Lepisosteus oculatus: one gene and its partners. The protein of the gene in region 1 interacts with the protein of each later gene in a pairwise test. Links are inferred from orthologs where the notes say so. Each region holds a gene or a part of one and is shown in the gene's direction. Other genes may lie near its edges. The genes, in order: bhlhe40, aamp, cox5ba and naa50.

Region 1 (7,032 bases):
AGGGCTTTAGAGTAAAAAAGTCCTGAAGTGTTTTTACACAGATGGAAAGTTATACATTTCTGCAAGTTATCAGTGATGTACATTGGTTCACAGAATGAACAGTGAAACACAAACCAGAGGGCACGAGTGGAAACTACAAAGAAGTACACTTAAAACAAAAACAGGAGGCTCTTCTTTACCCAGAGGCTTGTTTCAGTATGAAACAATTTACACTGCCATGTTTTTGAAACCGATATACTGATTTCTTTCAAAAAAAGGTCTGGATGAGGTTCTTGGATTAATTAATTACTAACTGCCAAATGGGCTAGATGGGCCAAAAGACTTGAAACCTTTCTTATGTTCTTCTGTATTTAATCCTGAATATGGTGACTGGACTAAAAGGCCATTCACATTGATGCCACAGATTTTTGTGAATGCTCTGATTTGTTTAACGTTTTTTTCAGATCAGATAATAAATAATGCATAAGGAGCCATGTAAAAAAAATAATCCAAGGACTAAATAGTTCTTTAAATTGTTATTGATAAAATAGTCCTTTACCAAATGCAGACATAATTACACTACAAAACCGGAAATCCGTGTAACGCTATAAATGTAAACCATTTTAGACATTTAGCATCATCACGATGCTCCCAAAACATAACTGCTATTTATGATAGTGTTATAAAACGTACAAACGCCATTATTTTTTAACTGGGTAAGATATACCTTGAAATACAGTTCTTTTGTCTTCAGACACCGTCTTTTGTACATCTGTACTTTTTCTTGGAATGCATTGATACCAATACAGCACCCAGATAGGGTTTACAATTAAGCAGACGGGTTTTTGGGAGGTTGGCTTACGTATACTGTACAGGTGAGAAACATACGGTGCAATGTTAGGCTAGGCAAACCTGCAGACCTGTTTTTGCGCACACATACTGTACATATTTTTGTCGGGAAATTAATTGGTTTCCATTGCATTTACGGGCATTTTGGGTGTTTCCTTTAAGAGTGCTAATATCGATACGTTTTTTTGGCTGATGGCTTATTATGTGATGCTAACTATTCAGCGCGCAGATGAATTATAAATCAGGTGTCAAGAGTATTTTTAGTTGCTCTTTCGGTCTTGGCACTCGCTGGATGCCTTTCAGGCTTTGCAAAATTGAGAAACGCTGCTTGCTTTGGATTTCATTACAGTCGACGTTTCCAGGAAAACCACAAGGGCGCATGAATGCATTCATTCTTTCGCTGGTTTTATGGAACCAGGCAGAACGGCAGCATCTTGCCGATTCGAGATGTCCACAACATGATGTTGCTCTACGTCCTGTGAAAAAGGTTCAGACACTCTAAATGGTGGAGGTATCCTGCTGCTTCGCGTCACTCTGTCACACTGGAGTTGGTGCAATCATGATCTCACACAGAGCATCGTGCTTTTTAATCTTTAAACAAAAAGATTAGAGAAATGTATTTTCCTGGACCTTCTCTAACCAGATCTGAATAAAATACATTGCAAATACATTGAAAGCATGCACATTGTATACAGTCACTGTACACAGTAAACGGGCATTTTCTTTACCGTCTTCGAATCGTGAATTTCAATGCGTTAAATGTGTACTAAATTGTCGACAAACCCCAGATTATGTTGGCTAGTAGTTTTTAACGGTATATTTTATTTTTTTTCCTGCCAAAGAAAATTAATAAAATGCTTCATATTAATCCTGGGGGGGGGTTCCTATTTGGATTTTCCAAACGTCGGATACCGATATTAAATTTATACTGGCATGTAGTACAGTCTGAGGAATACATTGGTGATTCATTACTTGTATCTGTTAAACTAACGGGGAATACGCGGGATTTTGTTAAAAATGTGATTAAAAAGGCACAGCTATGGATCACGTACTGTTAAAACTGGGAAAAATAGCTTCAACGAGTGCGCGCTCAGTGGCGACTTGCAGATTGCAGGATTTGTACCTCGTCTGTCACTGTCGGGTTTCCGTTGTACCAAAAACGGTTGTCGGCTGTTCTTTGGATTGGCAGCTACGGCACCAACTAGGCGAAAGCACGTTGTTTGCAAGGCGCTGGTCATGCAAATCAGCACAGGCGGCGCTGGCAGGGCTGTCTCAGCGTGCCGGGTGCTCAGGGTTTAATGAGTGGGTGACGTCAGTGGCAGGGATCTGGTTCTCCTCTCGCTGCCATGAGGAGATCAACGTGACTGCTGGTGGTGCACTGAGCAGCAAACCGATCTGCTACAGACACATTGTCAAACAGGTGCACGTGGATGGGCAGATGGAACCAACACGAAATAACACCGTGTCTGCATAGGTCCTACCCAGATAATATGTCGAGTAAACACTCAGGTCCCTGAGTAAACACTATTAAAATGCACACCACTGGGTGTCTGACTAGAAATCACAGCTTGTGTTAACCCATTGTGTATCATTCTCTATTGCATTTTTCTGTAGTCCATTCTGACATTTAGGTAGCAGTTTAGTGTTATTTACTCACCGGCTAGCTCTCCTCAAATATACATAATACAGACATTAACTAAAAACCGTGAAGAGTGGTGTTTCTGCCTTAAAGTGTAAATTGTGAAGTTGAGCAAGCTGTATTTTTAAATTAAAGCACTCTCAATTCAACCCAATTTACGAATTGCAAGAACATTTAATAAACACATTGCATTTAGGTTCTACACGGAGAAAGCGTTATATTATTCAACTGGAAATGTTTTCAAAGCGTTTGCCCCTCACACCATATTATAAAATATAGCTGAAAAAGTGGACCATCTTATTTTTCTGGTTTTGAGTAGCTGGATAGCTAAACCGATAAATTATTCTAAGTACGGTTTCGAGACAAACCAACAAGGGAGTAAACATAATAATGCATTATACGGGATTTTCTGCTTATATTTTTTCCATTTCAGAATAATATACAACTAGTTATTTTAATGGCGAATTCACATCGACTTGAATGTTGTAAATGGCTGTCGACAACAGAACACTAAGGTAAAAGAGAACGGTATACAGAGCTCACTTCAGCCGAAAGGATTAGATCTTCACGCAATGCAAGCATAGCCGTATGTGGTTACATATCATTTTGCATATATAAAAAGCGCAACTGTCTTAACCCGAAGCTTCAAAATGAAATGAACATCTCTGATCATGCTAGTCTTCAGTAACCTTAAAAGACCCGCACAGCTGCTAAATGAATTGCCTGGTATTCACGTTTGTAGCAGGAATTCGTATTGCGCTAAGACTAGGAGTCCAAAATCTTGCGTCACAGATCAGTTAACTTTAGTAATGCTGTCTGCACTGCACTGTGGTCACGGTACTTAATATTAGTTAATAGCATTGTAATTTTAAAAATTTTGTCAAGCACGATTTAGAGGTGAACTAACTATGCAGAAGACATTCCGTGGTTCAAGGTTGGCACAGCCTTGTCAGAATTATATCGTGCATACCTAGGAAATCCTAAAAACGTGGCGTCGCTGATTATTGGTAACATGACAAGCTCTATTCAGATTGCCGTGAATAACATCAGCGTTGGTATAAGAAAACCTCCACGAGTCAGAAATCCACACAGAGATTTTAATTAAAAATGCGGAGTAGCGACATAGCCATTGGAAAAATGTACTATGTTCGACATGTAGTTGATAAAATTTGAAAATAATCGCGACACTTCAAAGGCACGGGGTGAGGTCGAGGTTTCTCATTTTTGGAAAGAATATAAGTAGTGTCATGTTTACCGATTTTAATATTCTTTTATATGATTTCAACATTACATAGCAGCATGCAAGATTAATCGATTCCCTTTTAAAATCGGGTACTCTACCCTCCCCGATTTCTACAATGCCGAAAACCTCATCTGTAATGAAAAGTCTTTGATGCTCCGGGGATGCTGCTTTGTAGCACACTTAAGTGGAGCATGGTGGTACACGGGACACAGAAGTGTGACGGGGGCGTAACGTTTTCGTGCAGATCCTCCTTAACAAGGAAAAAAAAAAGGGTTGTTCGTAGTTCAGTTGAAAGTGCTGTCCAACACGTGAGGCTCATGTGACGGAGGTAGGTCAGTTACTGAGCTAGAGACGTGTCTGTAGTCACAGGGTTTATTTAACACGTAGCCCAATCCACCCACTCCCATACATTTAACCCAGCCTGCAGCTTCAAACTACAGCCGACTGCGCTTTGGATCGCTGGGTGATAACGTCGTGAGCGCTGTCGTTCTGCTTTTCAAGAGACATCGTGGATGATGAAAAGTAAAGCGTAGAACAATAAGCAGCTCGCAAAATCTGAAGAAGAAAAAACAAAACGTCAGAGCAAGAGCGGTCTTTTGATTTTTTTTTACTAAATCATATACACTTTTCATATTCAGTTTTGCGACTGAACGGGAGAAACGAAAAAAAAAAACTTTTGACTATCGTACCTTGTTTCACGTTGGTTTCGTCGTCAGAAAAGAAAATGGAAAGGATCACAGCTGCGCAGCCACCCCCTTGCATGACAAAACACACATCGTTGGAAATCCCTGACATGCAAGGGTATGTACGTGTCTATTAACAGCTGGTTTGTGCATTTTCCAGTCTGCAGTTTGTCTCTTCTTCTGTGTGTCGCGCAATTCGTGCAAGTTTGATAAAGTTAGCCGTTCTTCAAATGCAGACATCTTATTTTCCCCCGTTTTCATATTGCTTGTAGAATGGATTTCCCCATGTACGTGTACAAGCCCAGAAGGGGAATAAAGCGAGGGGAAGACAGCAAGGTACGAAACGCTCTCTCTTCTTGATTACAATTTGAAATACCTTTCTGGTGGATCTTTTATATGTCATTTGAAAGCTGTTTTTGTAAGTTAAACATGTATTTAATCGAGGCATATATCATTATTTTGATGTATGCTTATACCATATATGTATGTATTTAATGGGCTAAAAATGCAATAACGTAAATATAATTTTAAATTAAACTATGTAAACTTTACATAGTGTACTTAAACGTGCATACTTGAACAAGAACCTAACTGTTGATTTTTTTTTTCTCTAGGAAACTTACAAGTTGCCCCATAGACTCATTGAAAAGAAAAGGCGTGACAGAATTAATGAATGCATTGCTCAACTTAAGGATTTGTTGCCAGAGCACCTTAAACTTACTGTAAGTTAGAATTTGGAATAAAGTCAATTCTTTTAAATAGAAATCAACTGTGGTATAAAGCGCCATCTGCTTGTTGGCGTAGGGTTTTCTTGAAGGGCAGCTGACTTTACATGGGAAATTATCAAGGGAATGGATCAAAGCCTTTCTTCGATTTATTCATTCGCCTTGACATTACATAGCTTCTGCAGTTGTACCGAAAGTACCGAAAAGTTCCACAGGATAGGATCATAGGTGCCAAATGGCGTATTTGAAAATAAAAATTCTAGTATATTTTTTGATCGGATATGAAGTGATTATAGGTACGGTAATTGTGTTAATATCACTTGAAAATATGGTTATGTGGAAACAATATAAACACGGGAATCTTTGATATTCAAAGGCTTTTTAATTAAGTTTTAACTTGTTGATAAAAATGCTTCTTTTAAAATTACCGTTCGGTGCCCATCCTTTAACAATTGTAACGCGTAATTGTATGCACTTTGTTGATGCGTTACAAATATTGTACGATTTATAGTTAGAGGGATTCGTATTTTTACTTATTTGATATTTCAAAGCTCTTGTTCATTCTATCACGTTATTCTTAAACTGCTTTTGATGATCACAGGTTTGTCAGCCACAGTTTGTTACATAAGTTATCTGCGTGCTTATCAGACTTTTTTTATTTACAGACTTTGGGCCATTTGGAAAAGGCGGTGGTTCTGGAGCTGACCCTAAAGCACGTGAAAGCCCTCACTAGCCTCTTAGAACAACAGCAGCAAAAAATCATCGCACTACAGAATGGATTGCAAGTCGGTAAGTAATGTGCAACTTCAAATGTAAATGCATAGATTAATAGATAACAGCATACGTTTTTGGCTTTTGATTTTATTACGTTTATTGAAAGGAGTCTTTGCAAAGGGCGATTGCATGTGACATTTCTAAGCTGCTAAATCAGGAATAATATGTAAATATAAGCCTGTGCGTATCATTCAAAACGTCATGTCTGAATGGCAAAATTCCCTTGAAACATTCTATTCCATTAGACATTTTCTGCAAGATGAAATGTTATGTCTTTTCTCAGAACTCGAAATAGCTTTTCAGTAGCAAAATCCCAACATAAAAATTAAATGTTTATTTACTGAGTAGTGCAGTAACTTAGTGAATAACCTTTTAATACGGGATGTCTGCGAGCATCTTGTATTGAAATTAAGTTCCAGTGCAACTATTCTGTGACGGTCAGGATGATTAATTAGAAGTTCCTTCTTTTTTTCTTTTTTTTTTTTTAAGGTGACCATCCAGCTCACAGCCCTGACGTGAGCGAGGAAATGTTCCGGTCTGGTTTTCACATGTGTGCAAAGGAAGTTCTGCAGTACCTGGCCAACCAGGAGAGTGGACGAGAGCTGACCCCTTCCCATATGATCAACCACCTGCACAAGGTAGCGTCTGAGGTCCTGCAGAGAACACCCAGCCCCCGAATGGAGGATCTTGGCCTCAAAGCTCATGACCACAAAGAGAAGCCTGCCGGTTTGCAGCCCAAGATCTTCGAGGGTCACGGGAAGAACTGTGTGCCCGTTATTCAGAGGACTTATCCCCAGGGAAGTGGGGAACAGAGTGGAAGTGACACAGACACTGACAGTGGCTACGGTGGAGAGCTGGAGAAAAATGACTCAAAAATGGAGCGGCAGTACTTCGGCAAGGAGAGTGAACTGAAGTATGGCTTAGCTGACCGAGTGGCAGGCTCCATTAAGCAAGAGAGCGATGACCCGCCAATGAAAAGAATCAGGACTGAGTCTTCAGAGGAGGAGTCCCTCTCTGGCGGAGAATTGCTGGGGAATAACAGTGGCTTTCTAGGCTTTTCTCCACACCAGGCTCCGCTCTGCATGCCTTTTTACTTGATCCCACCCTCAGCCGCTGCATATTTGCCCATGCTGGAGAAAT
Region 2 (7,364 bases), on another chromosome or scaffold:
AATTCCACCTGCAAGTTTGTTTCCAATTTACAGTCATAGTTGACGTGCACAGCAAGGAAATCTATAAATCCCTAAATGAAAAAAATAATATTAATAATATTTCCTTAATACTTTCTGTTACATTCACTTCATGAATGTGTCTGGACATCAGACTTAATACAGATTTTCATGTTTTTGCATTAAATACCTGCTTCATCATTACCTTGTACATATTGTCAGTTTGATAAAAAATGTTTTTTCTCTTAATGTCACTAGCTTTCATTCCAAGGGAGATCTGTCCACCTGTAAGAATATTAAAAGAGCATATGTTGTTAGAGAAACATAAAAAAGTATTATCTTAAGAATACTAGGAAATAGGTTTACTGGGTTAAACTCCTAAAATATTATTTTACAATATTATTGTATCTTAGCAAAAATTGATAGTGTTCTGAATGTATGAATGTACCAGAACACTATCAATTTTTGCAGTAGTAAAAAAATCAGAGATACCTTTTAGCAAGTTGCACTCAAAGCTTATGAATTAATATTTCATGTTATCAACATACTGTTATGCTAATTGAGCATTGTAGAAAAAGGCAAAAAAATTGAAAATAAAAAATGTAACTGATGTATATATCCTGCAGGACTGATGCCATAATTGACCTTTTAGATTTAGATTTTAGATTGTTATAGTAAATTAACCACTTTATAAGAAGCCTCTTCACAGTTTTATACAATGTATGTCTGAACACTTGTAGTGTACTCAAGCAGGTAAAACATGAAAATTATATGTGCCTCCCCATAACTCCCCTGCTAAACATTATTATACTAGATCCATTATATAATTTCGACCTTTGTAAGCTATGAAATAAAGATAAAAACTGCAGAGTTGCATTTACTCAAAGATAAATAATCTCAGATATGACTTGTAATTGTAGTCCAAAAGGTTTCTCCTAGAACCCTTTGGAGTGACTTGTGACTAAAAAATAATGGTATATTCTGTTTTTCATGTAAAACAAAACATACTGTTAGAACATGAAAATCTGAATCAGTTCATTGGAAAATTAACAATTTAACACAGATACATCATTGTCCTTGCCCTTTTAAGTCAAACTTTTGTAGTAGTTATGACTGTTTAAAGACCAATTAAATGGAAATACATTTTTAGTAGTTATTTTTGGTTTAAGTTAAATTATAGAAAAATGTAGAATACTTAACAGCAAGGAGATCTTTGTTCTACAGACTTTCAGATAAAAACACAATAGGCCTTTATACAATGCTGTCCTTTAAATGGTATTAACTATTTTTGCTTTGACTGTAAGACAAGAGCTTAACTACAGAAAAATACATTCGTTTACACATCTGAAATAATTCGAAAGTAGTCTGATATCCTCAATGAGGATATTTCTGATATAATATTCATGACATTGTATTAACACTAGAGCCAGATGAATTCTTACCTTTAGCAGAAAGTAATTGGTGGTAAAGACTGTACACTTTTTTGTGGGCAAGTAAAGAATTTTCGAATACAGGCGTTTTAAGGCTGGAAGAGACCGAATCTTTCTGGTGTCCCTCTTCAATCATCTCATAAAACTTGCTGAATGTTATCCAGGACTCTGCAAGACCTCCCAAACTTGAAAATACAAATTTGGCATATTCTTCAAAAAGACTCACAAATGTCTCATTTTCCCAGCCTCCATGTTTTGCCTTCAAGACCTCAGGCACACCTGAATGGTGCAGCACTATGAGAGGCTTGAGAGTGGCTTCTGACAGCTGTGCAAGGAAGTTCCTGTAGCAGGAGAGAGTCTCCAGGTGAGCATTCTTCGGATCACCTTCAGGCAGGAGGCTTGTCCAGGAAAGGATCACTTTAAAATGAGTTATCCCTCTTGAACGAAGGTAATTGAAATAGTATTGAGCAGAAGGGGGCAGGGGGGATTGACAATTAAAGACCTCTGCCTCACCTTCCCCCTGAATCTTTGAAGCCAATGCTTGAAAATTGAGGGTTCCTCGGTTCAAGGCATTCACAAAGTTTTTAGTTAGGGGACCCCCAAGGAGCATAAATTCTTCTTGGTCTTGGACCCCACTGCCAAAGCAAGTGCATGGTAACAGGAGAAGAAGAAGGATCTGAACATCTTGCCTCATCTTTGCTGTGTGAAGACAATCTTAGCTATTATTGCCACATAAACTTACGTTTTGTGTGAAACCTTTAAACCATCTCACACTGCAATTTTTTTTTTACAATTGCATTGTCATAGCATTAAAAAAAACAACTGGGCTATAACTAGTTATCTGTGTTTTATAGCCCTAAAACAGATTACCTAAAAGAGATATGCCACTTTTATCTGCACTTAAAGTATGTTAAGGCCTGATCATAAATGTCAATGCTTGATTCGCTTTTCTATCATTTCAGATTGAGTTACTTATCTATGCAGAAATCTTTTCACAGTAAACAATTTCTCAAATTGCCTTACCATGAAATATACATTACCACGTGCAAGGGCAAAGGCACGTTAATAAAGAAATATTAGTAATTAAACTATTGTTAAAGAACATTTTAAACAAAGGTGGAGCCACGTTCCAAAGGAATGGAACAAAGTCAGTTAGTTTGTCTGTACATTTTACAGTTTTATTGTTTCTCACTGATTGGCTCCAAAAATTAACAATTGTTTTGTACTGTATAAACTTGTGATTTCTTCTTGTGGAAAAACTAGCTTGTAACAAAATTATTGGCCAGTGTAGTGCTAATGGTTGCATGATACAAAGCTCCAATGACATAAATTGGTGCATGTTCAGCATCTGGCTTTTTTTATGAAAACAAAGTAGATGATATGTAGTGATCACTTTGAAAGCAAGAATCCCTGTAGAAGTTCAGTAAACACAAACAGGGTCTAGCACTGTGGATATCAGACTGAATTGTTGTAGTTTCAAATTGAGCGAATATATTTTTGTACTCTTGAGCAAGATAATTTACTAAAAGTGCTCCAGTACATGATTTGTTGTATAGACTATTCTTCAGGTCAACATTATTATGAATGAGAATGAGAACTTATTGTCTTATAGATTTAGGGATTTTAAGAAATGCCTGATTTCATGCTGTAACTGAAAAACTAAGTATGTGATATAGTGAAATGGTGACATAATTATTATTTTTTTTAATCAATAATGTTTTCTGATCTAAAAGTAGGTGGGCTTCCGGGCTTCCATCTTCCAAAGCTGAGCCCAGAATGGCAGGAACATTTGGCTTTTATAGCACTGGTGCAAGAAGGCAGGTGCAGGAGATCAGGAATAAAACAGAAAGGGCTGGAGCGTCCTTAAGAGGAGGGGTTTACGATCGTGACACAGAGTGATGAAGCCAATTCATAGATGGGGATTATTAGGAGGCCATGATTCATAAAGGCCAATGGGAAATTTGGTGAGGATGCCAGGGTAACACCCCTATTCTTTTTGGAAAACGCCCTGGGATTTGTAATGATGACAGGGAGTCAGGACCTCAGTTTTACGTCTCATCCGAAGGACGACATTTTTTTACAGTATAGTGTCCCCGTCACTATACTGGGGCATTAGGACCCACACAGATCGCAGGTTACGTGGCCCCTCTAATATCTCTTCCAGCAGCAACCTTAGCTTTTCCCAGGAGGTCTCCCATCCGGGTACGGGCCCTGACCTGCTTAGCTTTAGTGGGTTGTCGGTTGTGAGTTGCAAAATTTGCAAGAGTGGTACTCTTAAGGGAGGTGGTAGCCCCAGTAACCCCTTTTGGATACAAAATGCAACAGAAGTGTAGTTAAATATTAATTATTCTTTTCAAAGACATCACATGATGATCAAAATGAATGTTGTATGTGTGAATGAAAAACAGAAAGAAATAAAATGCAAGCCTAAATAATATCTTAGAATAATATTTGGACAGTATTGCATTTTTATACCCCACAATGGGAATTGAAATCATTTCTACAACTCCCATAATTTACCAATAATATACTGTATGTACCTTTATAATACCTTTACTTTTTAATTAATATAGTAGACTCTTAATTTTTATATTTAAAATAGCATACGCTATTCAAATGAAAAAATGTAGAAATGGACATATAATGAATAATCAAATAATTCATGAATTATTCAATAATTTAAACACTAAAAATAGACCAAGTAACTAGATATTTCAACCATTCTTAATTTCGGAGAAACATTTAGCTTGTTCACCATATAGCTACTTAGAATACACTTCATTTCCCATAAAGCTCTCACTTCCGGTTATTCACCTCAACCAAACCCGTTAGCTGCATCTACAGGAAGCCCCGCCTATTCCAGAATGCTATTGACATTTACTTTTTTTCACTGCACTGTGATTGGATCAGAAACCTATCAATCAGATTTCCACGCTAAAGTTTCAATAGTAGCAGTAACACGTGAGGATAGAGATACTGGAGTGTGAATGTAGTTATTAGTGTTTTTAGATTGTTATGGATTTTTATTTTGGAAACAGACTTTTACTATTTCTAATATAACGAAGTGCTATATCAGCCCTTAATGTTGTTATGAGTGATTTCCAGTAATATTCGTCGTGTTATAGTCCATATCTCTAGCTAGTTGTAATTTAAGTTTTTGTTTTCATAAAATAGAGCTCTCTTAACAGGCAGTTATTTTTTATTCCGAAAAATGGATAATGCCGAAGGAGCTGTAGATTTACACGGGGACGAAGAAATCATTGAAGTGATTGACCTTAATGAATCGGAACAGACGCCAGGTAATGTTACTGAATACTACTCAGTGTGCCATGTTGAAATGACTGCATTATGTCAGTGATTTTCAAATTGTTTCTTAATTTCAGTAGATGAATATATACATTGTCAGTTTTCCTTTTACGCTTCTTTGGTTTTAACGTAGTTCATATATATTTTATTTTTCATGAGCGTATTGTATGTGCACAATTACATATATCTGATCTGGAGCATGCATAATGCAAATATGCCCATGTTTTCTCAAATGCTTTGCGTCACAGTTTAAACTAATAGATTCATATGTGTATGCTGGGAAGGGTTATGAGGTACCCAACGGGCTTCATTTTGTATTTTGCCCAGATGACTTGGCTAACGAGATTGAAGATGTCGATTTCGGTGAGGAAGGAGGAGATTTCGCAGATGATGAGGGCTGGCAAACTGAAGAAGAGGACATGGAAGCTCGACAGGATGACAGTGAACTCACCTTCTCCATGCACACAGGTAGGAACGATATATATGTGAGGAAACAGTCGATAGTTTTACGACGTACTGTGGTGTTCCTGTGCTATTAGTAGTAGATATGAGGAAATGTAGGTAAACGACTGTTGACACCTAGTAGTATATAGAAACATTGTTGAACTGACATTTATAAAAGCAAAGTATAGCCTTACACGACTTACTCACTATTTTATGGCTTTAAGACCTCCTGCTTTTCATTTTATAAGTCCAGGTAAACTATGAATAAATAGAAGTCTTATTGTTACTGTAATTGTTATGCGTTGCTAATACTGATGTTAATATTCGTTTCCAGGATCTGTGTTCTGTGTGAGTTTAGACCCGGCCACTAACAGCTTGGCAGTCACTGGTGGAGAAGATGACAAAGCCTTTGTTTGGAGGCTGAATGATGGAGAAGTTGTCTTAGAGTGTGCAGGTGATTTTCCATATACTTATTTGTATAAATGTATTGTATTTATTAATTGACTACATTTATTATCAATCAGATTGATAATTAGAACTTAACTGGCTTAAAGTGGGGCATCCGGCATTGCCTTATACGGATACTGATTGCATTTCTTAAATGTTAGATGCCATTATTATGAATTTGAATTATTTTTGCGGTCACACTCAGAATTTATATGAGGACTATATAACAAAAAATCATTTAAGGAACCCATTAATAGTTCAGTGTACAACGACAGTTATTAACACCAAACTACATTTTCTGACAGGCCACAAGGACTCTGTAACCTGTGCTTCCTTCAGTCATGATTCCAAGCTCGTGGCTAGTGGAGACATGAGTGGCCTCATCAAGGTCTGGAAGGTGGAAACTAAGGAAGAGGTCTGGTCGTTTGAGGTGGGAGATCTGGAGGTGAGTACTTTAGCTCACTTAAACGACTCCTGGCTGTCCAAATGCCCCGGAATGTAATTTATAAAGGCCTTCATTAACCACTTCAGGTATTAATATACCGTTAAACCTCTAAATAAAGACTCCTTGTTCAGCTGCAGTTTTGCATGGAAAGTCCTGGTAATAGTGTGAATCTGCTTATACAGAAAAACTAAAATATGCTTTCAGATATTTCCTCCAAAATATTTTGTGAGGATAGAAAAATACTTCTTTTTAGTGTGGAGGTGTAAAACTTTAATATTGCCTGATTTTTTGTTTTCCCTGACAAACCCTAGTTTTCAATAATTTGGCTAAGTGTAGTCACATTGCCGCTATCAGAACTCCCTCTTGTTCGAGTGGCTGATTTGGCGGTGTGGTTGTTTGTCTCTTCAGTGGCTAGAATGGCATCCTTGTGCCCCTGTTTTGCTGGCTGGCACAGCAGATGGTAACGTGTGGATGTGGAAGATCCCAGGCGGGGAGTGTAAGACTTTCCAAGGGCCAGGCTGCCAGGCCACAAGTGGAAAATTCCTGCCCGATGGTAAGATATTCAGGGCAAAAGTCTCGCTATTAGTCTCAAGTGGGCCAAGTGTCGAACTGCACATCTTTATGTCTTTGTACCCTGAGGAAAAAGCAGTTTTAAAACAGGAAAGGAAGACAGTGGTGACGTTTTGTATCTTAAAGGGGGTTTACTATCCTTCAATGCAAAGGAAAACATATATTGGTTTTTGTTTAATTCAGAAATAACCAATAATAATATGTAATACACCTAAAATATTTAAAAACAGTTATGTTCTTATTTTTGAATTCTGAGTAGTTTCAGCATAACTGACACTGAGACTTGGATGATTAAAAACTGCTAAACTACACTGGGATTAACTGGGATATTTACGCACTAGGTTAAACACAAGGTTTTAGACCAAACACACATTAGACCAAAAACAAACACAAAGTTTGTTTTTGGTCTAATGTGATCAAATATATGCATGGAATTAAAAATAGAACATTTATGGTAACAGTATGTTTTATTTATATTAATGTTACAAATAGAAACTATAAAACAAACATAATAGTTTTCACAATTCCAATTTGTTTTTATATTTTCCCAATTGTTTTTTATGGACATGAGGGCAGTTACCATAGATCTTAAGGATTTTATGTTAAGGATGGGAGCTGTAACTACTGATTAGAGAATTGCAAATCTCATTCCAATTAATAAAATCTGTGAAAATACTTAATGAGGAAACCAAATAAATTTCTGTTATTGGCAATGCTTTGTGAAC
Region 3 (7,853 bases), on another chromosome or scaffold:
TTCTGAACTCTGACCTGGGATAAATACGGGAAGAATGAGGAAAATTACAGAGCTTTAGAGAGCAGGGAACCACATTTAACTTTGCCAAGTTTTCCCTCCATAGCCTCTGAAACTGTAAAGACCTCATTAAATCTAATTCTATAATTATAATAGTATTCATTTTAACTAGAAGTAGTTAACATGTTCCATTGAATTAATCATTTTAGAAACAGGATGCCAATATTTATGTTTGTTGAGGTTATTTTTGTTTGCTGTGTGAAATTCAACATCTTTATATGCACTGAGGGGGTAAGAGGGCACACAACGACACTACAGACGAGAGAGGCAATCAGGCTAATTGACACTGGAGAGATCAGTTAGTAAAACGTACTGGCAGACGATGAACTAAAGAAATGGTTTAGCTGCTCTCTCATGTCCTCAGTGGAATAAATGTGAACACCTACATGACAGACAGTGGGATCAAAGGGCACTAATTGACTCTCAATCCTCCAATTCACTGTTCTTTGAAGAGGTGAAGAAAATTAGAAAGTCAGAGAAAAGAGAAAAAGATAAAGAGTAATACAGAAACACCGCTTACAAAAGCCAAGGGGATGTCCCATCTCCTAGCTGAGTTGCACCAAATCATTTGGCAATTGCTAAACCTAACAAGATGTTATTGTACAGCATGTGCAATACAGCTGATCAGCACCATGCACACATTTCATGGAGCTCAGGCCCATGAAAGATTTATACTTGTAGAAAAAAGACCTGAGCTAAATCCAGCTAAAGAAAGTGTGTACTTGGGAGGCTGCAGTTAGAAATTCTGCAGGTTGTGCCAAGAACATCTTCCCCAAATCTCACATTACCTTCTCTTACATAATTCCCATGTGAATCACTCTCAATTTCCTGTCTTCAGTTGCTCTTTTAAAGGATTGTAAATTATAAAACACACAACAGATGAGGAATCCTAAACAAACCCTTGGAACATATTTTGGGTTTCATTCTCAATGTTTTGTAACCTGTGTGTCCTTGTTACACTTCTTGCTTGTGTGTGTTCTTCCTAATGATTCTCTGTTGCTGTATCTGCGTTGAACCGCTACTGGCCCATGTTGTATTAAAGTGAGCAAGCTTGAAACACAGCTACTTTATATGCAGCATAAAGAAATAAACACAAGCAAGATATATTTGGCTTTCAGTATCATCTGATGCTGATGCAGACATTCACACAGAGGATCTGGTATTCATACCACACTATTTATATGAGGAATGGAAAATACCACTGTGCTATGGGGTATTTAAAATGTAAGAGCCTGGAAGGTTGTGGGTTCAGATCCCAGGTGAGATACTGCTGTTATACCCTTGAGCAAGACACTGGGAAAATATACATCTGTATAAACAGATTTTAATGCAGGCTGCTTTGCATAAAAGTGAAAGCCAAATCCATAAATAGTGATTTCGCAAGTCTAGCACATTTTACAGAGCAACTCTCATAGAAGGTTTAAGGGGAACTGCCCTGCTATTTTTATATTAGAGGGGTTAGAAGAATCTGTCACATCATCCAGGTGGGGCTGCACATTGGTGGTGGTGGAAGGGAGTACCAATTACCTGTAAAGCACTTTGAGTGAAGTGTCCAGAAAAGAGCTATATAAGTGTAAGGATATTATTTAATTCAATAGAAATATTGGTCTTGACTTTGAAACTGATTTGCTGACAAATAAAATGTACTTGTTAAATTTGCAATGCAGATCACATTACACCATTTCTGTGGTGAAATGTCTGCTGCACAGCCTGTACGTATTCACTCATACATCGCATTACATTAGTCATTGCAGGGACTGGTGAGCAGGAAGGGCTGCTTCACGCCCCAAATCGCTCAAACTCTTACTCTCACCCATGGAAAGACCAGCGGTTTGCAGCGATATGGTGACTATACATTGCTTTCACAAAGTTCTTTCACAAATTTTGTGCTTAATTGAGAATTCATAAAAACATTCAATACCATCAATTAATTTTGTTACCAACATTTAATGACGGGTCTGAGAAATTGGGACTGCAGTTCTCCTTTAACTGGGCAACAAAGGCACAGCTGAGCCTTTAAAGAAGAACCTTATGTTAACAATTCCTTCACTATTGTCACTTGGACATAAATGGATGTACGTCCCATTCTAGGAATTTGTCCAAAATAATTGTAGTTCTTAAGAGTGCAAGACGCAATTGGTGTGTAAGAGCTCAATGTTTTTCCAAATGTATTCTGCACCTTGTGCGAGACTTATCTGTTGTCTGTTGTTGAAATCATAAAACAAATCATGCCTCAATACAAGTCAATATTTATGATCAGTCTCTGTATGTCACGACTCTAGATCTATTAAAATGTACGTTACAGTACTTTGCTGTTTGCTTTGTCAAGTGTGAAACAGTAAGGTTTCTTAAATAGCACCACACCGCCCTCTAGTGAGAAAATTACGTTAATACATCTAAATCTGAAACGGATTTCTCTGGCCGGTGGATAGTTTTTCACATAAAACAAGTATGGCTCAGCTGTCACGAAAATCTTCCTCCTTAGAATCATGGAAAAAATCCTCCTCCTTTCTGCATTAGTCTGAGCTGTCAATTAAAAATAACCCACAACAGAACTGAGAGGTTTTGGAAAAGAATTGTGTTTATGCTAACATGCCACTTATATATTGTATACAGTGTTCGAAAGCAATTTAAAAGGCAAACAAAATACTAGAATATAAAGTTACATTGTAGAATGTAAATCAGGAAATGTTTTGTTAAAATTGTATAATACACAAGTAAAGTCTCATTTAGAATACTGAGTACAATTTTGGTCACCGTGTTACTCAAAAGATATTGCTGTTCTCAGAGAAGAGCAACCAGATATATGAGCTTAAGGGAGAGTCCTACACTGTCAGGCTGAAGGAACTGACATTTTTGTTCTTGAACAGAGAGGACAGCAGGGGAAACAGACAGACGTATTCAAAATCCTCAAAGTTTGGGTGTCCTCTATCTATGTCCTCTATCCTCAAACTGAGGTCGATAGAGTCAACCCAGAGGTCTTCTTCAAAATGAACAGTGAAACTCAAAGCAGAGGATACAGATGGAAATCATGTGGAAGTGAATTTAAAACTGAGAGCAGGTGGTACTTCTTTACCCAAAGGGCTATGGGAGTATGGAACGAGTTGCCCAGCGATGCTTTTGAAGCTGCTGCCCTGGTTTCTTTCAAGAAATGGCTGGATGAGAGCCTTGGATCAGTGAACCGCTAACTAGCCAACGGGCTAAACAGGCTAAGTGGCCCCCTCTCGCCTGTAATCTGTCTTACCTTCTGAAGTACACATTCATGAAGCAGGCCAATGTTTACACAATCAAGTACAAAAGCATACTCTCTGCTGTTTTCAACATAGTGGGCCTTTTGCTGCTGTTGGTGGTAGAGGATCACACTTGCAGATTAAGGTGGGCTGGATTTATTGTAGCCGATTCCCAGGGAGATCAAAGAAGAATAGTGGGAATAATGAAACAAGGGTTTGAGAGAGAATCCACGGCTGGAATACTTTTTTGTCCTGTTGTGTTAATGTCATTCTGCCCTGGACACCATACTGCATATCTATCCATCCATTCTCTAACTACTTTATCCAATTGAGGCTTGAGGGAGCCAGAGACTATCCCAGCAACAAAAGACACAAGGCGGGATAAACTCAGGACAGCATGCCAGTGCACTGCAGAGTGCACACAGACACAAATACACACACACACTCACATCAGGACCAACAGGCCAATGAACCTACCAGCATGGAAACCAGAGCACCTGGAGGAAACCCAGGCAAAACCAGGAACAACACACAGACTCCCCACAGTTAGCATCCCAGGGATAGAACCCAGGGTTCCAGCACTGTGAGGCTGCAATGTTAGCCCCTGCAACACCCTGTCTGATCATTCATTTTTACCCTATATAGCAATAATGTCAGCAAATGACCCCTTGTATGTTACCAAAGTTATCAGTTCTTACTACCTTTCTTGATGTTGTTTAATATAAGCTGCCAGCTGTTATTTAAATTTCATTAAGAAATGAGACAATTCCCTGTTGCGTCGTATGCACCAACCTGTAAGGAAAATAGAGCCCTTACAAACTTTCTTTATAGTCGGTTCTTTCTACTCTTATTTCTCACCGCACTTCAACTCATCTCTTTGGATAATGAACCTACTTTCTAACCCCCCCAGTAACACAATACTGTCACTTGAATGTAAGGCTGTTTCTCACAGACAGTACACAGTATTAACACTTTACTATATGTGTAAGTGATTTTCATTTTAACACTTATTTTAGCTCTCTTTTTCTTTTGTAAAATCAAACAGGGAATTAGGAGACTGAATACATTTCAGAGTAGTTCCTGGTAGTTAAAACCTATACTTCAATAAACAAAGTGCAATTAAAATAATGTCTAAAGTAGGCCACCATCACAGCACAGTACGTTTATTTGTATGAAATCTAACTGATACTACATAATTATTGCACTTTGAAAACAAGAGTTATGTTTTCTATTATATAAACTTAATTTTCTTGATAGTCTTGTTAGATGACCAGTGCCCTTGATTAAGGTCCTCTTTATGACTCTTAGTGTGAAGCACAATAACGGTGTATTACTTTTTGTCTATGAAACTCTACCGTTTGATATTAAAAAAACTACATGATATAGGAAAGGCGCGTAAAAACGACATCCCTGAAACAGGTTTTTTTGCTCTTCTCTTTAAATGTAATACTCTCATAAACATCTCGTCCAACAATCATCCAGCTCATTAAAAAAGAGGCATTTTCAGCCAGCGTCACGTGACTAACACACGCACTTCAACGTCATATCTCCGCGACAGTCGACACAGGCGCTCTGTCAGTGTCTTTCCTGTATTTTCTCATCTGAGGTGGAGAAGAGAGGATGGCTGCAAGGTTATTGCTGAGATCGGCCGTTCGTGGGGCTTCTTGTTGTCGGGCGGCCCCTGCCTCGGTACTCACCCGCGGCATGGCAGCAGGAGGTGAGAGAGATGGCGAGGCAGACGGCTTGATCGCCGAGGCAAAGACGTGGGGGCTGACTTCAGTTAAGCTGTTTTTCTGCCAAGGGCAGGCAAAGGCAATCGTAGTAACAGGCCTCATTGAGTTCGGGGGTTGTTAGAAAGCAAAGTGCTATTTTGATAAATCTATATGGGATACCTTTTTCTGTAGAGATCAATTTAATGTGAACAAGCGGAGTTTGGACAATAGTATTTTAATAACTGAATTGTATGATTTCCTGTAGTTTTTAAATGCTTGTGAAACGCGGAAATGGATTACACGTTATTTAACTACACTAAACAAAACGCGCAGTTTACTACAAATTAATCATATTACATATCTCTGCTCCGCAAAACTGGTAGCGTTGTAGTGTGTTTATTAGTTTTTTATTTCCCCAAAACTGCGCAATTATTTATCTACAGGCGTTCCGACCAACGAAGAACAGGCTACCGGTTTGGAGAAAGAAATTATCAACGCATCGAAAACAGGAGCGGTGAGCATCTGAAACTGTATAGTTATTGTCATCTGGATTGCCACACTAATAAAATCAGTTGGATAGGCGCATAGTCATAAGACAGAGATTCATGGCAAGATGGGGCACAAGGTCATACGGATTAAATATAAAGTTTGATTATTCATGTATTTAAATACGTTTCACTATTAATAGCTTATTTGTTGTACGTTTCTAAAGTGTCATTTATTACTCCTAAACCAAGATTTGTATTAAAAGCCATGATTGTTTCACTTTCACTTTTACAAGAATCACTGGCCCCCATAAGTTCAGGGTCGCGTTTTTCTAAAAAAAAGTGCAATACAATTTTAAACTCTTTTCATGTACTTTGTCATTGTCTGGACATTGGTTAATGGAGATCACAGGGTACATATAGCTAGAATTAATTAATTACAGGTACTGTATATCCTGCTTAACTGTGAGGACGGTTTCCTGAAAAGCTTGATGTGCCGACGATGTAAATCAAAGTAATCACCACAATAATAATGTAATGGTAGGCTGCCATATACATATGTAAAAAAACAGGTTTTAACAAAAACACATCTGAGTTCTATATGTTTAATATAAACTTCAAGAACAGTGTACGAATGTTGTGAATATATTTTCAATACAGAACATTTTTACAGCCTAATGTGTACTATATGTAATAGTTTTAAAATATATTGAACTCAATTCCCTGTTCTTTAAGAAAAAGAATGAATGACCGTATTTTACGGTTCTGTAGAGACAATTTTAATTTAAAATATATTATATTATATAGTAAGAAGTGGTAGTCTTTTAAGAGTATGTCCAGCCAGGTGGAGGCTGCTTAAGAATGTTGTTAGTAATGTAAAAAGATATAGACATTGAGTTCATGTATAGCAGGATATATCGGTAGTTTTGTTTGTTCGTATGCCTAGATTGATTCGAAATGTGTTTCAGCTTGCCAGTTGTGTGCCTAAGAAATCCAGAACGAACTGATTCAGCTCTCTTTCTTCTTTCTTAGTTTATCCTGTTTAATGTAGTTTAAAAAAATGAAAGAATAGAAATTAATGAACATTTGATGGTTAAACTAAAGAAAGTTAAAGAAACTTTTTATTTCAGGACCCTTACAACATCTTCAAGCCCAAGGCGTACACTGGGTCCAAGCAGGATCCCCACCTCGTGCCCTCCATTAACAAGAAGAGAATCGTGGGCTGTATCTGTAAGTCCAGACGCCTCTGTCTTACTCCTCTCTGTATTCTACAGCCGCTCTGGAGCAGGCATCGCTTTGAACTGGAAATAGCTCAAGACTGGTGATAGTTGGACATTTCTCATTTGTTTTTCAAATCTTTTCCAAACTTTTTCTTTTACATGAAAGAAAGTGGGGAAGGCAGGGAAAATATTAGTCCTGCCAGTATGTCCTACTGGGTTTAGCTGTACAGTATATATGATCTCTCTGGTTTATGATGTCTCTTTCCTACAGTATGTTTGCTTTCATAACTGTAATTGATCACAAACAACTGACAGTGAAATAAGTCAGCAAGTTTACTAGCTATATGTTCCTTAAGGTTGTTTTGTCTGCTTTCGCTTAAAGGAGGACATTATCAAACTACATTGCCTGTTTCTAAACTTTTTGTAAACTAAAAAAAACTTTAATTAGAAGCAGACTTCCCCGACTCTCTCTTGTGGAAATTTAGGGGTTTTCCCATGTTCGCTTAGATAGAAGTGAAACATCTGGGAAAAGTAGAGGCAGTGGTGTTTGTGTCTTTGTGAACGATATGTAGTGCAGACAGTACTCGGTGAGGAAGATTATCTGCAATTAAAATGTTGAGGCCTTTCCACCTCCCGAGAGAATTCTGTAACATTATTATATGCAGATCCGGCAGACTACGGAAGCTCCTGTGTTATCCTGTGGGATTTAAATCACTGTAAACTGGAGATGGCATTGCCTGGGTTTGAACAGCATATCAAATGTGGGACAAGAGGGAACAGAGTTCTTGACAAATGCTACAGTAATATAAAACAAGCCTATACCGCCAAAGTCAAACCACCTGTCTAACTCTGATCACAATACTGTTCACCTCATCCCCATCACCTCGAGAGCATTATTAGATATGGTATAACAGTGTGGTTTGGTAATTTTATCAGTTCAGTTAATATCGCAAATTACCAGTCTCATCCAAACAGCTTTGAAGGTCATGGGAGTGAAACAGCACCCCTCCCTGCAGACAATCTTTGAAAAAGCCAAAATCAAGCAGGCAGAAAAAATTATATCAGATCCTTCCCACATCCTCAATTCTGAATACCAACTTCTTCCTTCTGGCAAACGTTTTAGGGTTTCTGAATGAAAGTCAATCAGAT
Region 4 (7,796 bases), on another chromosome or scaffold:
ATTCATAAAGGGTCATTAACCCTGGTACTCTGGCTCAACTCCAGTCTGGACCTGTACAACCTGTCCTTAGATTTTACTCCTAGTTCAACTGGAGGAGCAGTTTCTCGCTCCTCCACCTGATCTTCTGTGTTGGTAAGATGCAGACGCCAACCACATGGGAACTGTACTTTAATGGTGGATGAGGTGGACCCCACCATTTTGTAGAGAGCTTTCAAACGCCTAGGGATGAGAAACGCTATAAAACGACCATTTTTCAAAGAAGGGCTGGAATGAAATCTAGGAGGGGCTGTGACCCCTGCAGGCACGATACCTAAAGCACAAGAGAATCACCCCTCTTTCTACACACCCCCTTCCACAGTACTGCCACACTCGGACCGGGACATTCTTTTCTTTCCCTGCCTACAACTCACAAGAAGAGAAGCCTTCATTAAGCAGAACAGCCCAATTGATCCTTCACACCTTCACAGGCATGCCTGGTCATATCTGTTAAAACTGCAAAAAGAACAACAACAGTTACCACAGCTCGGCAGACAACTGATGACAAAAGAGAACAGAAAGTCCTGATTAAGGACAGATTTCCCCATGTTGCCACATGCAAGCCTGCACTTCCTGGACTGCAATCCATTACAAGAACCCGTCACAGCCATTTCTCCATCCACCCTGCCGCACTCGATGAGCTAGCGGAGGATCAGGAAGCTGACCTCTTTGTTATATACCTGACCTGCCACTACATGCATTACAACTCTGGACAACATGTGTTCAGAAATACCAGCACTTCCTCTCCTTCCTCAAGTGAGGTCACTTTACTGTCTATCTGTCTATGTTTTTGCAAAAAGCAGTTTATTCCTGGCCAGGGTTGTGGCAACCCTGCGTATATCCCAGTGCCAAGGGCACAGGGCAGGACCACGCGAAGGGGACACACACGTGTGCACAGGGGGCACAACTTACAGGAACCAGTTACACAGGTCAGGGTGACTTTGGAAGGAAGGAGGAAGTCAGGCACTGGAGAAAAAAAAACAACGTAAACATGGAAAGAACATGCAAAACAGATTTGTTATTTTACCAACGACGTACCTGCTGCACAGAAGACCTGTGCGAGAATGAAGTGTCACGGTACCTAACACTGGTTTCCTGCTGTACTGTACCTATCCATTGTGCTACAGGGCTCCTGCTACACAGCTCTTTGCGTGAAGAGAGCTGAAATGAAAGCCACGCAGAGATTTGAAGTTGAGATTTGGCATTGCCAACGCACTGGCTGGGCTGCTGGATGGACAGCCTGCATGATTTACGCTCACCCGTGTGGAGACCGACCCCCTGATGTGGGCTCCAGCTGAACGAATAATGAACTGATCGACAGTAAGGGGCTTTGGGAAAAACGTCTCACTGCTCGGCTCTCAATGTGGCACCCTCCCCCCTCCCGGTGCAGCTGTGTGATCAGGCACGGTCACGTGACCTCCTCTGGCTCTGACTGGTCAGTATCTGTGGTTGGGCTGCACGTTCAACCACTGATAATCTGATCTGGGCAGGGGTCTGGACACAGTCTTCACTCAACTTGGCCGTTGGTACAGTATTGTTGTCTGTTTTGTTAAGCACCTCATAAGACGTTTACTTGGAGGCTTTGCCCAAGATCAGCATGTTTGCGCAGATTTTGCGGCACAAATACAATCTGGTGCAGATGAACATGTGCAGGACACCAGCCAGCAGCTTTGGACCCCTCGGGCCATCATTAGACCTAAAGGGGGACCTTTGTTTATCCAACCCAGACCTATGCACTGAATCACAAGGTAGCGATTACATGACAGTGGAACAACTGCATAGGATCATGCTATAAAAGAAAGAAACATTAAAGGAACTTCCAAAATGGAACAATGCATCAGAGTCACCTTCTCATTCACGGTTATGACTCACTTACAGACAGTTTCCACTGATCTTCCGTCAAACCCACCAAGTTCACTAACACTCCACATCAAAGCACAGTAGTGCCAAAAGTGTAAAATTAAAATCGGGATCTTTGACCCATCCCTGAAAACTGCTCATACTTCATTCACAGGAGGGTAGTAAGCACATGCTCTTGAAGCATTCCTATATAAAAAAAGGCACTGGCTCGTTGCAATGCAGGTTCTGAAATTAGGTTCGTCGTGAGACTGACTCACCGCTGTGCTCCCCTACCACAAACCCACCCAGCCGAGGTTCTGTCACTCTGGAGCTCACAGTCCCGCTGCGTCACAGCGCACGAGGCTCAATGGACACCTCCAAGCCTCTGTCCAGCTTGCCGTCAGCGATGGTGAACCATCGCCAAATGAAATGAACAGGGCAGGTGACTCAAGGGAGTATTGAGGGTCCTCAAGGGCACAGACAAAGTCAGCCCAGTCGGCCTCTTCTGAACGAGCAGTGAAACAGGAACTAGAGGCCAGTGCATTGGAGACGAAGAACAGCAGGCACTCCTGTTTGCCAAGTCAAAGAGTTTCAATGAGTTCTACTATTACAGCAAGGGTCCTACTGTGCCAACAAGAGCCCATCTGGAAAGAAAGCCAGCAGGAGTGGGGGAACCCCAAAAGCAAAGCTGGGAACCCCTGCCTTATCCTGCATCACCCGGAATGGAAGACCATACTCGGGGCACATCACCCTTACAATATCCACACCACTTTTATGTAAAACAAAATGACAAAACTGCTAGACCGATCAGATGATACAAATGGACTACAATACAATACATCATTCATAATAGATCACTCCGTTTTCTACGTCAGATCATAGAATACATTTTAGGGGAATGCAGTTCTGATACCGCCCGGCATGTGATGGACCCCCATATATCTGTTACGCAGCAACTGTACACCCAGCCCCACTCCAGACACCCCATAAAGATGCTGAGCGCCCTTCGGAAAATTTCGCCCGGTCTGCTGACTCGATCACATGACGTGTCGATCGTGTCTAATACACATTTGTTAAGACGAGCCAACCCTCCGACAGAGCGAAGGCAACTAAATGCATAGACGGGGAATGAGACGGTCACCGCTACAGTTCAGTCCCGTAAAACAGGCCGATACCTCTGAGGTCTGAATCCGTTCAACAAAATCTAGTCTAGGGTACTTCGTCTCAGCAATACCCGTCAGGATACGTTAGCTATCCTCCATCGACGTAAACACGCAACACATTCTTAACTTGAGACATCTTTCCGCATTGCAATTATTCCTATTCCTCTAAAACTGAAACCTACACGACCCCTGGCAAGCCCAGCGGTATTTACCAGCAATGCGTCCGAAAACACGTTTGCACCCACGAACAAACCTCTGTTGCGCAGTGAACTCGCATCTTGACACTTCAAAAATACGATCGGCTCTGTAATTGTGATCGCTCAGATATTAGCGTTCATCGAAAAAGCGTAATCTAAAATTATTTCATAATACGGTATATCACACCGAGTCTCCATCTGACGAGCACAACATGCTAGCCGATATGGAAGAGTGTCTGCTAATAATTCAGACGCTTACTGGACTACAGTACGGTTAGGATGTTTTAATACGACTGAAGGACCGATGTTGCATTTTGTTTTCAATTATTTTTTTCACAACTGCCGTACAGTGCAATGGTGGCCGAGGACGGTTTCGACAGCTAAAAGAAAAAAACAAAAACGAAGGCCTGTGACAGTACTGCCGCACGAAGCGTGAAATGAAAATTGTTTTAATTTATTCACATCAGAAACCCGCAGTGTTTATTTTGCACATATGGATCAGCTGTCCAGCCTGTCACTTCAGCGGCGCATAGGTCTGCTACCGACTTACAATCTGCATTTCATTGAAAATGTAATTTAAGACACGCAGCAACACAATAAAACCGGCTAAACACATACAAAACAGTGATTAAAGAGTCAAATACCGTTACGTTACCTTCGAGAAACGAAATTATTTAAAGCTTTTTCTCTCCCTCCTCCAGCAAGGAACTTGTCAGCAAAGCGAGAGATCGGGGAGTCAGCTGACTTCATTCACCGCAGGCTGAACTACCCCTTCGACAGGAGAGGAAACTGACACCATACTGGCTCAAAACTGGATGCTGGGCTGCACCGCTAAGCTAAGCCGTTTCTAGAGCCAAGATGGAGATGATTTAGGCCCAGTTTCGTCACTTCCCCTATATATTTCGCACCCTCCGTCAAATTGAAAGAAAACAGCATTATGGGATATTGGAGGAACTTTATCGAACGCGTGTTATCCAGTTTAGTTCTTGATAAAATAATTTGAATAACTAAAACACTATTATGATTCATAAAGGATGATGTACTTAGCTTTTAACTATTCAAAAATATGCGTCTCATGTAGGGAGTCATTATCTTACCAAAATATTTTTTAAAATATTAACCCGTAACCGGCGTCCCAAATTTATAATAACGTTAGTATACTCGAAAACTGTTTTTGAATAATTGCCATTGAAGATACCAACAGTAGCTGTTAATAGATAGCCTGTCAGTAAAATAACAGATTAGTTAGTTCATTAATTTCCATAATTGCGTAAAGAAATATTCAGATATATTACGGGAGGGCACGTGTGTGTATTTCTGGTCACGTGATCTATCCGATTCGCTGTTGGATTAGATATTTTCCTTCAGTTCAACTCAAATGATTTTTAACATTTAAACATACTGTCGCATTTCCTCGCAATCAATTTATTTTTTTTAAATGCGGTCGTTAAAATATTTTAATCGAAAACGGCAACGTCGGCCCGAGTCAAAGGTCACGGCCTTTGGACGTTTTTTAAAAAAACAGCCGTTAAATTCGTCGCTTAATCGAATCCCATTTTCAAAATATTTTCACGCACTGAAAACCGGTCGCAAACCGCGTCAGGGTGGCGTTGGGGGACGGGCAGGCGGTTTTGGGGTCTCCGCGGGGGAAGGCAATATTTTTATCCGGGGTAGGGGGGTGCGGAGCGAGCGGGGTCAGAGTTCAGCCGTGTGTGTGTGTGTGCGCGCGGAGGGGGAGCGAAGTTGATCCATGTGGTTCTGGCTGACAGCGGTGCTCAATCCTCACCCGAACTCAGCCCGAATCCCCCCCAAGGACGAGCCGCTGCCCTCCGCTTTGACCGCGACACCCCCGGGAAACAACTCCTGTCCACCATGAAAGGGTGAGTAGGCGCCGTCCGCCGAGACGCCTCTCTCCCCATCACGGATAAAGTTTTTTTTTTCTCCTCTTTTCTCTCTCTCTCTTTTTTTTTTTTTTCCGGAGAGGGGTGGGGGTGTTGCGATGAGCTTTGCTGTGTGCATGCTCGCCTGGTGCTGCTGTGGGAAGCAGGAATCTGCCAACGCCAGCAGAAGCGTTGTGACCGCCGGGCGCCTGGTTAGCGAGCGGCGAGTGTCGCTCCTGTTTTCTCATCCCCAAGATGGCAAAAGTAGGATCGCTGGGGTTTTGTTTCCCAATCCCCGTTTTGGTTTTCCCTCGCGAGGACCGGCCGAAAAACAAAACCGCTGTTTGTTTTAATCGGATCCCTTCTGTATTGTGTGTGTGTGTGTTTTTTAAAATGAAAATAACGTAGAAGCGTTTGCTGTTGTAAATATTAATTTTCAAGTCTCCCCCCACCCCCCTTAACTTTATAACCAGTGTTTTTTCTTCCGCCTGTGTCTTGATAGTGAAAGATCCTTAAAACAGTGTACTAAATGGGTTAACGAAGGTGTGTTTGAGCACAATTGTCCGTTGGATCCCTTCTGAAGTCACGCAGTGGGCGATATCGGACGCAGGTCGGTTAGTATTTGGGGGTGTAATAGCGCTTCGGCCGACGTCTTCGTTGTGTATCACGGTTGCGTTGGCTAAAAGGTTAAGACACGTTCCCCCGCCCCGGGGCGTCACCAGTAGATCGACTGTTATTTGTTGTAGAAAAATCAACAGGTAAAATCCGGGGGGGGGGGGGGTCCGGGCGCGTGCGGGGTCGCCCAGCCCGGGACGCCTTTTGGCGCGCGCTGCAGCAGTAGAGGAAGAAACCCCCCCCCACCCCCGCCACGAGACACCTGTCCACACCTGTCTCGTTGTTTACCCCCCCACTGCCGGGTGGGGAGCGCTTCCCTGGCCCCTGTGAAGCTTTGACCCAAAAGCTGCTTTTAAAAGGGCGGTTCGGAGGTAAACCAGCAGACAGGAGCCTTCAGTGGCCGTGTTATTGGTTGACGAGTGCATGCTGGGTGGGGGTTCGTGAACATGATTCTTCACGAAGAGAAAGCAAAACCAATTTAAGTGGGATGTTGTTGTTTCCCCCCCCCATTCGCAGTGGAGTGCAGGCGAGAAGATGTATCTGCAGGCAGACCTATCAGACACTCCATACAGCATGTCTGCAGGTGTCTGTGTCTCTCCCGATCCTGCCTGTGCGTCTGGGCTTGCTCGCTTGATTGAGGTGTTGGACTGTAACTGAAGGTCACTGAGGGGGGTTATAAATGAGAGGAGGCCCATCCTGTTCATTAACCAAAAAAACGTTGGTACATTAAGAAGTTCGCAGAGAGAGAGAGAGGAGGCCATTTGAGTGAAAAAGGCTACTTCGACGCCCCTGTACAAAGCACTTGTTTCGGACAAGCCCCGGGTTGCCCTCCGGGCGAGGCGCTGCAGCGTGGCATGCGCTGCGGGGGGCCCTGGACAGAGCGGGGTCCTGCCAGCGCCGCGTGCCGCCCTCCTGCCGCCAGCTGGTGCGGTATCTCGTGACCCGGGCAGCTGGTTTAAAAATGGAGTTCCAGCCCCGGCCGGCCCCTATAAATACACCAGGGCGCGCGCTGGGCTCGGGGCTGCCTGGGGCACAGGTCCAGCCAGGGCGGGTGGGCCCTGTGCCGAGGAGGGGGCAGCTCTCTTCCCAGCCCGTCGGCCGTGCGGTCGTCCTGTGGGGGTTCCTGATGCAGAGCTCAATAGGAGAACAAGGGCCAAGTCTGACCTGAGCTGAGCAATGGATGTCCAACTTGGTTCTCTTCGCTCGCTGCCTGAGACTTTTCTCCTCAAGTCTGCGCCCCCTGCCATCGACAGCAATGGCTGCCCCCTGCTTGCTGAAGTCTTTTTTTTTTTCTCGGAGTTACCCAGCTGTTTTTGTGTCTTGCTCCCGTGTTTCTGTTTTTCTGCACAAAGAAACGGAAGTCGACCCTCGGCACGCCCGTGGCGTGGTGAGGAACTGAGTGCGGTGTTCAGCACCGGCCCTCAGATCTCGGCCGCCAGGGAAGGAGACGGCTCAGCTGCGGTATTGTGGACGCTGCGCGGTGCCCAGGGGCATCCTGCAGCAAAGGGGCTTGAACAGTTCCTATGGAACAGGCTGAGCAACACCCTGACTCGAGGAGATCGTTGGATCAGTTTGCCTACTAACCACCAAATGGGCTGGGCCCCTCTCATTTGTGACAACTCGGCTGAGAGACTTCGCTTGCCTGGAGCCCATTCCCACTGCTCTGTGAGCTGGGGTCCGGCTCAGAACCTTCTGCCGTGCAAACAGGAAAACGAAAAAGGCAACAGTAAACGTAACTGCACGCCGTCGCTTTGAAAGAGAACGGGACTGTAGTAATAATGGCCGGGACTGGGATTTGAAGAGAGGTGATAGTTCTGAAGTGGTGCTAATTTGTGCAGTTGTGAACCCAGCGCTCACTTGCTGGACATGGTTCATAGTTTTTCTTTGCCCACATTTCCATGACCTTTGGTCCCCTCGTTGAAGAACACATCCAAGCTCGAAGACTCTGGGCTCGGTCTGGACTGAGAGGAGGCAGCTGTGCCAGTCCTGGAGAGCATGGACATTGGCGGGAGTGCGTCCAGCTCCGCGGTGTAAAAGCTGGCCTGGCTGTGGGCTCTGCTGGATAG

Evidence for each region.
Region 2: the proteins of bhlhe40 (region 1) and aamp interact in a two-hybrid assay, tested with the Homo sapiens proteins (2 studies listed by BioGRID and IntAct). The link is inferred for Lepisosteus oculatus from reciprocal best matches to the Homo sapiens genes BHLHE40 and AAMP.
Region 3: the proteins of bhlhe40 (region 1) and cox5ba interact in binary tests that used the Homo sapiens proteins (3 or more experiments, as listed by UniProt). The two-hybrid records come from large-scale screens. The link is inferred for Lepisosteus oculatus from reciprocal best matches to the Homo sapiens genes BHLHE40 and COX5B.
Region 4: the proteins of bhlhe40 (region 1) and naa50 interact in binary tests that used the Homo sapiens proteins (3 or more experiments, as listed by UniProt). The two-hybrid records come from large-scale screens. The link is inferred for Lepisosteus oculatus from reciprocal best matches to the Homo sapiens genes BHLHE40 and NAA50.

What each region holds. Positions count from the first base shown.
Region 1 is NC_090699.1:54,736,374-54,743,405, reverse strand, and holds the start of bhlhe40 (class E basic helix-loop-helix protein 40), read left to right. Parts: upstream 1-4,011; 5' UTR 4,012-4,434; coding exon 4,435-4,511; intron 4,512-4,665; coding exon 4,666-4,729; intron 4,730-5,007; coding exon 5,008-5,115; intron 5,116-5,783; coding exon 5,784-5,907; intron 5,908-6,381; coding exon 6,382-7,032. UniProt on the Homo sapiens protein: Transcriptional repressor involved in the regulation of the circadian rhythm by negatively regulating the activity of the clock genes and clock-controlled genes.
Region 2 is NC_090707.1:22,069,772-22,077,135, forward strand, and holds the start of aamp (angio-associated migratory cell protein), read left to right. Parts: upstream 1-4,350; 5' UTR 4,351-4,638; coding exon 4,639-4,726; intron 4,727-5,060; coding exon 5,061-5,201; intron 5,202-5,511; coding exon 5,512-5,631; intron 5,632-5,929; coding exon 5,930-6,069; intron 6,070-6,477; coding exon 6,478-6,622; intron 6,623-7,364. Other genes in the region: lactase/phlorizin hydrolase, read right to left, coding at 1-71, 203-282, 1,440-2,121. UniProt on the Homo sapiens protein: Plays a role in angiogenesis and cell migration. In smooth muscle cell migration, may act through the RhoA pathway.
Region 3 is NC_090697.1:71,875,908-71,883,760, reverse strand, and holds the start of cox5ba (cytochrome c oxidase subunit 5B, mitochondrial), read left to right. Parts: upstream 1-4,847; 5' UTR 4,848-4,907; coding exon 4,908-5,004; intron 5,005-5,442; coding exon 5,443-5,513; intron 5,514-6,614; coding exon 6,615-6,714; intron 6,715-7,853. UniProt on the Homo sapiens protein: Component of the cytochrome c oxidase, the last enzyme in the mitochondrial electron transport chain which drives oxidative phosphorylation.
Region 4 is NC_090700.1:4,084,611-4,092,406, reverse strand, and holds the start of naa50 (N-alpha-acetyltransferase 50), read left to right. Parts: upstream 1-4,784; 5' UTR 4,785-5,107; coding exon 5,108-5,115; intron 5,116-7,796. UniProt on the Homo sapiens protein: N-alpha-acetyltransferase that acetylates the N-terminus of proteins that retain their initiating methionine. Has a broad substrate specificity: able to acetylate the initiator methionine of most peptides, except for those with a proline in second position.